Caenorhabditis elegans: one gene and its partner. The protein of the gene in region 2 interacts with the protein of the main gene of each other region in a biochemical or structural test. Each region holds a gene or a part of one and is shown on either strand. Other genes may lie near its edges. The genes, in order: exp-2 and mps-4.

What was found.
Region 1: of the proteins of mps-4 (region 2) and exp-2, one has a biochemical effect on the other in vitro, tested with the Caenorhabditis elegans proteins (one study listed by BioGRID).

Annotation. Positions count from the first base shown.
Region 1 is NC_003283.11:6,138,926-6,144,067, reverse strand, and holds exp-2 (BTB domain-containing protein), read right to left. Parts: upstream 3,059-5,142; coding exon 3,012-3,058; intron 2,958-3,011; exon of another isoform or gene 2,742-2,957; intron 2,598-2,741; coding exon 2,574-2,597; intron 2,360-2,573; coding exon 2,080-2,359; intron 2,020-2,079; coding exon 1,906-2,019; intron 1,856-1,905; coding exon 1,736-1,855; intron 1,691-1,735; coding exon 1,517-1,690; intron 1,469-1,516; coding exon 877-1,468; intron 830-876; coding exon 648-829; downstream 1-647. Other genes in the region: ttn-1 (Titin homolog), read left to right, coding at 1-46.
Region 2 is NC_003281.10:8,270,151-8,273,582, forward strand, and holds mps-4 (MinK-related peptide, potassium channel accessory subunit protein 4), read right to left. Parts: upstream 1,295-3,432; 5' UTR 1,246-1,294; coding exon 1,145-1,245; intron 1,097-1,144; coding exon 978-1,096; intron 696-977; coding exon 640-695; 3' UTR 570-639; downstream 1-569. Other genes in the region: crn-7 (Cell-death-related nuclease 7), read left to right, coding at 1-102, 210-383; F09G8.10 (uncharacterized protein), read right to left, coding at 1,295-1,647, 1,733-1,845, 1,894-2,018; clec-160 (C-type lectin domain-containing protein 160), read right to left, coding at 2,858-2,918, 3,179-3,432.

The DNA of each region.
Region 1 (5,142 bases), on a different chromosome or scaffold from region 2:
GTTTTCGACAAAGGAGAGACTGTGAAACTGAGGCTCTCATTCTCAGGTTAGTTAAAGAATTTTTTGGGAAAGTCGGGTTACGAATCGAACAAAGTGATAATATCAAACTTTTAATAATATTTTTATTAAAATCATTCCTTCGGACGAGAGTGATATGTTAGCTAACAACAAAAATCCAGGTGGGTCTTGGGAGAGGAAATGGCCTAATGTCTTTTTCGAGTTTTTTTTCTAGCGTGTTCTTCTCTGTGTTTTCACATGGGGAAATGGGGAAATGGATGGAGTGTGTAAAGCGGCTTTGAATCAAAAAATATGCCAAGAGAAATTGGAATCTTCTTCTTTTTTACTTTATAGTCAGATGCCGTCAAGACTTTTTGAAAAAAGTTGAAGAGAGTGAGAGAGTGGGGGAGAGATAAAGTAGGAGAAAGTGCACTGGAGGAGTTTCCCGTTGAAATTGGATTGGTTTTCTTTTTCAATAATATTTTTAGATTCGGAAATAATGATAGTAACCATAATAGAAAATTTAGAAAAAATATAAATTTATGAAAATAAAATAACAAAACCAATATACTCACTTAAGTTTGATAAAACATATAGAACTTCGGGGGAAACATTTACTCGTAACATTAATCATTGAAATAATTTGTATACTAGTCATGGGCATTGAGCATGGCTTCCAACGCGAGTTGCTCGCTTTGCTGGTCATTTTTCTGTTGCTCCGCTTGTTGTTCATCTTGAGCCACTTTGATGAAGTTGTCGACAATGATAGTAATGGGCAGAGCAAGTACAAGTACTCCGCACATAATTGCTGCTGATGCAATGATTTTCCCCACTGAAATTAAATTCAATTAGAACCCACAAATAGGGGAAAGAACTCACTAGTAGTTGCGGGAACAGCATCTCCATATCCTACAGTTGTCATTGTTACTATACACCACCAATATGCCGCCGGAATACTTGTGAACGGTGTTCCTTCCTCGTCTTTTTCCAAGAAATAAATCATGGTTGAAAAGAATACAACTCCAGTCAGAAGTACAATTGTCATCATTTGTAGTTGTTTTTGTGATCTTTGAAGTGTCATTCCGAATGTTTGGAGTCCCGATGAGAACCTTCCCAATTTGATAATTCTGATAACTCGAAGAACTCGAAGAATCCGAACAACAAGGAAAGCCCATCGTAGATCTCTTAATTTCCTGTCATCAACTCCGCATAATGTCAGAAGCAATTCCAAGTAGAATGGAACAATAGCAAGTAAATCGACAAGGTTCAGCGGTTTCAGCGCAAATCTTAATTTCCGTGGTGCGGCGAAAAACCGGAGGCAATATTCGACAGTGAAAAATGCAATGCATATCCGTTCCGTGAACACAAACGCCGGATGTTCCACTCTCATTTGCTCAACTTTTTGAACAACCGTTACAGTTCCATTCGGTAACACTACTGTTTCATTATGAGGAGGCATAAGATGAGTAACCTGAATATTTGAATGCTTAACCAAATTATTAGAAAGTTAAATACTTACTTGAAAATCTGGAATAGTTCCAAAAGAAAGTCCCATAACTGAAATTGCTACAAAAAGAGTCGATGACAACTCAAATGCCTTTGCTTGCATTGAAGAGCCAGGCCGTTCGAGAAAAGTCCACATCCTCCTCCGTAACTTTCCGCACATCAACTTATCGAAGGTGGTATCATCTACCTTAAAACAAATTTTTCTTTAATTTGTGATATACAGATGATTTACTTTTTCTTCTTCTTTCTCTTCTTCCCGTTTTTGGGGGATAATATCGGCGCAACAAGATCCAACATGTTGATGGGATATCCTCCAAAAGTCGAGCTCACTTAGAAACGAAGCTGGACAAATCTAAAATTTTAAAAAAGTAGATATTTTCCACTTCACTTCCTAATATTCACCTCAGATGGTCGATGCACCACTCCTGTTGCATAGTATTGAAACACAGCTTCAAAGGAAGTAGGTGATCGTTGGAAATAGTAAGCATCATCAGCGGAAATATAGGCATCCGCAACCTAAATAAAAGAGAAATAGATTGATGATATGATGAGATTATCCCCCAGTTTTTAGCTCACTTTTAATCTAGCTGTGTGTGTGAGTTGGACAAACCGCGAGAGAAAAGTAGTTGTGTCTGCGCGGAGAATCGCGTCGATTAGAATCATAAAGCTTGTGCCTCCAATATTTAGCTTCAAAAACTGTGGGCTTCCGTTATCCGCTGAACTGACTTGTTGGAAACAATCGGATGCTCCAGATCGAAAAATATCGTCTAGAATCTGATAGTTTCGACGTTCCGCCACTGTCATTGCATCAGTCCGACGCAGCGGGACTAGCCGCTTTTTGTGCTGCTGTGCGGCCCTGAAAATTGGAGGATTAGAATTTTAGAACAAAAGATCAAAGTGCATCACACCCGTTGATATCTTGGTCTAGAGTTCAGTTTTAGTGACAGGGAAGGAAAAGCTAATATATCAAACATCACAACATAAGCATCATGCATGAAAAGAGAAACACGATCGATACAATCCGATCTTTAGTTAGATTGATAGTCATGGCATTAAAAATCACAACTTACCCGCTGATCATGTTTCCGGTTACCCTGTAATTATGGAATTTGAGTTGCTCCGTCGAGCCAGGGACCGTAAATGTTGCTGCAGAATTTCGATGCGCTAGAACCGCTTGCGATATTGCAATCGCCATTTTGCAACTTCAGTTTTAGCGCGTGAAGTGTTTTTTTTTCAGTAGTTTTCAGCAGTGTTCAGAGTAGGTTTAGGAGAAGTAGAAGAGAGGTGTCATCACACGTGTGTGTGCGTGACAAGATGAGAGGTGTCAAGGATGATGAGAATTGGACTGACACATTTAAAGTGAAGCTATTTTTTTTTTCCACTAAGATAAGAAAAGGAAGAAGAGAAAACAGAACTAATAGATAGATTGAGAAGATGTGATGAGGATGCGTGACGTGAATCTATGATGATGTTAGAAGCTTCCGGTATGCTTTGATAGAAAAACTTACTGTCCATTATATGCCAGCGCCGAGTAAGAAATACTTGCACATGCCATTGTGGTATCTAATACTTCAGACGTCCGACCCCAGGAACACCAGTTGATAAATAACAGGTGATAAGAAAAGGTCCTTCTAGTTTTTCTTTTTTATGAGCACTGGCAGCTGGGATGGGGCTCCACTGAGGGCAGGTGTGAAGATATGAAGGATCGGCACAGAGAGTGAGAATGAGAGAGGATTGACAGCAGGTGGCCGAATTGACGCCTTGCTTCTCTTTTTCTTCGTCGCGTGGGAAACCGCGCTGGGCGCTCAAAGCTTACCGGAGGGAGCACGGTGCTTATAGAGGGAAAAGATATGCAGGTGAGGTAGTGAGAGAATGAGATAGATACGACGGAATTCGTCTGTTTCTCTTCAATTCACTGCTACATATATATGTGTAGTATTAGCAACCAAATATGAGCGAGTTGTCGATGAAGACGGCGGCAAAGACGACGAAGACGAAAAGCAACCAAATTTGTGGTTTTGGTCTCGGGTGCCCCGTTTTTCGGCATCTATTTTATCTACTTACTGGAAGGGAGGAAAAGCAACATGATTGATTTACGGTGATGACTCTCATGACTCTCTAGACTGGAATTTCTAGAATATAAAATGAATCGGGATGAACATTCAACACGCTAGCAATTGAATCAAGAAACAAAGTGGAGCTTCGAAAGATATCTGCCTTCTTTCATCCAATCAATTGAAAAACCAAAAAACATATGTTTTCAATTGCGGTGAAAAATTCTCATATTCTCTTATTCTCCACATCGATGGAACACTATAAAAATCGAGTAAAATTGAGATTCATGTATGACAAATTTTGTTGCTCACGTAGGATTTTAGGAGCGAAAGTAAACACAGTGATAGGGGGCCGAAGAGGATGATCTGTCGGTAAGGTACACTTGTAGGTTTACATTGTGAAAATGATAGGTATTGTTTGCCAGAGACAATGTGCGGAAAAGAATGTAAGAGTGATAAAAAAGAGTATAGAATTGGCTCTCTAATTTGATATGGTCTGACCTACACTAAATCTTCGTATTCAATTTTTTCAGAAAATTATTTGCTACCAAAAAATAATATTGAGTATGACCTACCTGGCCTGAGCCATTTTCATTCTCACAACCGAACGCCAGAACAATAATCTAAAAGTCGAATTCTTCTCTGGCAGTTGGTTTTTTGTTTTGCTTTTTGCATATGGACCCGTTTAGCACCTCTTCTCCGAGTCTCCATCCCTGTGTAACCTCAAGCCTACTCGATTATAAATTTTCTTCCACTAGACCGCTTCTAAATATTTCTCACTAGCAAAGATCGAAAAAGAGAACTAACGACAAAAAAAAAAGAGTGTGAGGGTGGAAATTCGAGCAAAATGTCAAAATATATCTGGCTCCACGGGTTCTGGAGGAATCATTTGACCACTGTGAGTACCACTTGAGAATTGTTTCGTTTACTTGCCCAGAGCCACAAGAATTTAGTCTAAAAATGCAAAAACCTATTCAATTCTCGAATTGAAAAAGTTCCCGTGATCTTTGTTCCCTCGTTGAGACGGTCGAGGATAGAAAACGAGAAAAAAACACAACACGGGAGGAGAAGCTTGAGATGAACTCTGCCAACATAATCATTTGAGCATACAACAAATGAGGAGCTCATTCGGTCTTTTTTGCTTGCAAGTAACTAATTCTTTATGAAACTTTATAACGAAACAAAACTTACACAGAGAAAATTGAATCCATTCAGTGGATCAGCATGTTAAAAAAAAAGTTTAGCTCAGATTAACTGAATGGTTCACCAAGGGTTATTAGGATATAAGAAACTAGAAGAAACAGAACATAGTGCAGCTGAAGGCATTTGGAATGGGGGGTCGCCCCTCGCAGAAAAACGGAAAAGAATGAGGATTTCATATGGATGAACGGCTACCAATTGTTGCTAACAAGCTCTTAACTCGTAATCCACATCACATTTTCTCCAAAAAGTAGACTGGGTCAGAATAGAAATCGGGAAGAAAACGTTGCAAGATATGTGTGCAAGATACAGATAGCCAATGAGCAAATAATGTTGTAGTTAATTTTAGATTAAGGGTGAAAGTTACCTATGTCAATTTTTAAGT
Region 2 (3,432 bases):
GTAACCGGGCTGAACTTCGCGAGCTCGAAGGATCATTCGAAATGGGCGGTTTCAAATTCTCAGACCAATCCGATTGTTTGTTTTGGAGATATGAATAGGCAGGTTGGTCACATATCGTTTTTTAAGGATCACAGACTCGCCACGAAAAACATTCAATCATAAACTTGAAGAGTATTCATAAAGTGAAATAGCACACTTTTTGTTTTCAGAAATCACAACTGAAACGTGGCGGTGGAGCATTGTGCATTCAAAATAGAAATCTTTGGCAATTATATCATTCTTTTGTTATTCAAGTTGAACCGTGTAAATCTTCTTCTCATTTTTCCATGTTCCAAACAATTGCCACTCTCCTTTCCGCAGCCGGCCTGGTATCAAAGATTTGAAAAGAAAAATGGCCAAAAAAAGTTGGGCGAAAAATTCCAAACTATTAAGGCCAAGCTTCTTCAAAGTACTCAGTTATCTATATTTCAGAATGTACTCCTCTGAAAATTGAACCTCTTTTTGTTGCTTTAACATAAATTAATTGCGGGTGAATTATAACACTTCTGTTTGACAACAAAACTAACAAATTTTAATTTCTAAAAACTTCATAGTCAGAAAAAAAATTAAAAAATAACTTAAAATAATTATCAAAATCTTCTAGTCTGTTCTCTGCCAAAAATTTGTTCTCGGGTAATAGACACGATGCTTTGGATCTGAAAATTAGTATTTTTTATAAATACCAAGTAATCATGTGTAGTCAGAGTATTCCATAGTTATTTAGCGTCTGAAACATGTGGTAACCTCATTTTTTGGCAGTAGGACGTCTCAGGCCCGTAAATTAACACGGAGTTCGGTAGAGCGTCGCCAACTTTCGCGGTAACGTAATATAGAAAATAAGAAAACAGCGACGTCATAATTCCTAAAAAATGAGGCTGATATGTTTTCCAAAGCCCAGACCAACACTCTATATATAAAATCAAATATATAAAGCTTACCAGGCCGAGAAGAATTCAACAAAACTTCAATCCAAATAAGTAAATATACTAGACAAAGGAACACAAAAGTCATGATGATGACGAGTAGAAAATCAAAGTATTTGGTAGGATAGGAGATGCTGAAATTTGTTTTTTAAATCTTAACAAATAAGAAAAAGAAAAATTACCGATTACATGAGGAGCTCCATTGAAGAAATTCTTCAATTAGGTATTTATAATTGAACGAAGAACTGGCGTAGTTGTTGATATTTTCTTTTGGAAAAGTCATGGTTTTTCAGAAAAGAATATCAAAAAGTAAATTTTATAAAATATTAATTTCAAAATTGTGCACATAACGTGACAATACATAATCCACATTCTCTTTTACAATATGCACATGCTCCTTGTTGCTCTTTTCCTTCTTTATGTATTTTATCCGGAATCGTCACGATTGTTGGCTGAACTGTAATTGGAGCAATTTTCTGAGATGGCAGTTTTGGTTTCTGTGGTTTTGGTGGCGGCGAAGAAGCTGGAAGTTCGGGAGAAGGAAGTGCAAATTTCACTTTCTTTTCAGGTTCCAGATCTTCTTTTGTTGTTTCGGTAGTTGGTTTTCGAACCGGAGATGGTGTTCTTCTATAATTGTCCCCAATTGGACCTCGATCGAAATCAGTTAGAGTTCCTAGTTCAGAGGCTAAAAAGTTAAAAATAAACAAGTTGAAATACAAGACCCATGCTTCTGAGATTGTGGCCGACATATTAAAAGAAATCGATCATACATTTTGGACAACACCAACAAGCATCGGAATTTCTCATCACACAAAATAAATCACCATCTCCATCATCATGAATCTCGAAAACGTGGTTAATCGAGAGTCCATTTGAGAATAACCTGGAAAAGACAGAGTTAATGAACTCATATCATATTAATTCAACTTGCCACTTTATGCACATTTCTTGCATTTCTCCAATTTTCAGCTGATCACCCTTTCTTCCGGGTAACACAATTGCTGTAACTGCTCGGAGCTCTTTTTCATTCATTTGAATAACTCGGCGATGATACATTCTCAAATTAAAATATGAGTTTAAGATCTGATTGAGCTTCAGGAGAGGTTTATTTAATAAAACTCACGATGCAAGACAAAATATTCCAACAGGGTATGTTTTTTTTTTCAGAAAAACCAAAAATTTTAGAAAAAGAAGCACAATGAAAATTTGAATTTTGGCGTCCGGTTATTTTTTTGTTTTTATTTACAATCTCAGTGAGAGTGAGAGAGATTGTAAACACAAAACAAAAAAAACCGGACGTTGCGTGCGTCAGATTTTTCGAACGTCCGGTGTTCCAGCCCTATAGGCTAATTAAAACCTATCAAAAATTCTCAAAAAAAAATTAGTTCAAAACCAAAATTTATTTGTTTTAAAAATGTAAAATCTCTTTTTTAATTACTAGAATAAAATACATACATATATTTAGATTTAGAAATATACATCACATTTCTAAAAAACAATTTTTTTTACTCAACAATTACGAAAAACGTCGAATGGAAATCATAGGCAAAGTTGAAAACATTTTCAGTTTGACCTATAAATCTATAAATCTCCTACCGCTAAGTTACCAAAAAGTAAAAAAAAGAATAGAAAAATCAATAAAACCTATGAGACATTCTTGTGTCAAACAATTGAAAAAAGTTTCGAATGACTCTATCGCCTCAATTCTGTGATTCATAAAAAGTTCATTCATATTCACTGGTGAATATCGAAATACCGACACAAGGCCTTCCCCCTCCTCTCCACAAAAAAACTAGTTTTGTAGAGTATCGAAACATTCTCCTAAAAAAGAGAGTGAAATATGTTACTTTTAAAAATAGTTTATTCTGTTTAAATTCAAATTGAGAATGACATCACTAATTGCTTGAAGGTGCACAGTAGAAATCGGTGTCACATGCTGCTTCTTGACACAGCCCTCTGGAAGAATTTTATACTTAATTTTGGAGGATTTTTATGTTTTTTGTTCAAATTTGTTATACGTTATTCCAAAATATTCAAAAAAGTTATTCCAAAAACCCATGCAAAAGTTTATTATAATTTTTATCTAAAACCTTGAATGATACGGAGAAAAAAGAGAGCAATGGTTATTATAAAGTATTCTTTGTTCAAGTTTCTTAAATTGGGTATCCTTTTTTGGACGGACAAGTTAGAAAGATTTCTCATAAATGAATTCTCACCTTCCATATTCACTTGTACAACTAACAGAGTTCCATCTGAAATCATTTTTCGAGTCTTTCAATAATTTCGCCATCACGCAATCTCCTTGTTTTACATCTGGATGTCCAGTAGCCCAATTTGAATATGGATTATTTGTCACTCCATTCACCCAAATAAACTTTTTCGTAGCTTGATCATAGTAATATCCAATGTCATAGTTTGGATTTTCTTGATTTTCAGGGTACCAGTTATCCATGTAGAATTGATTGAGGAA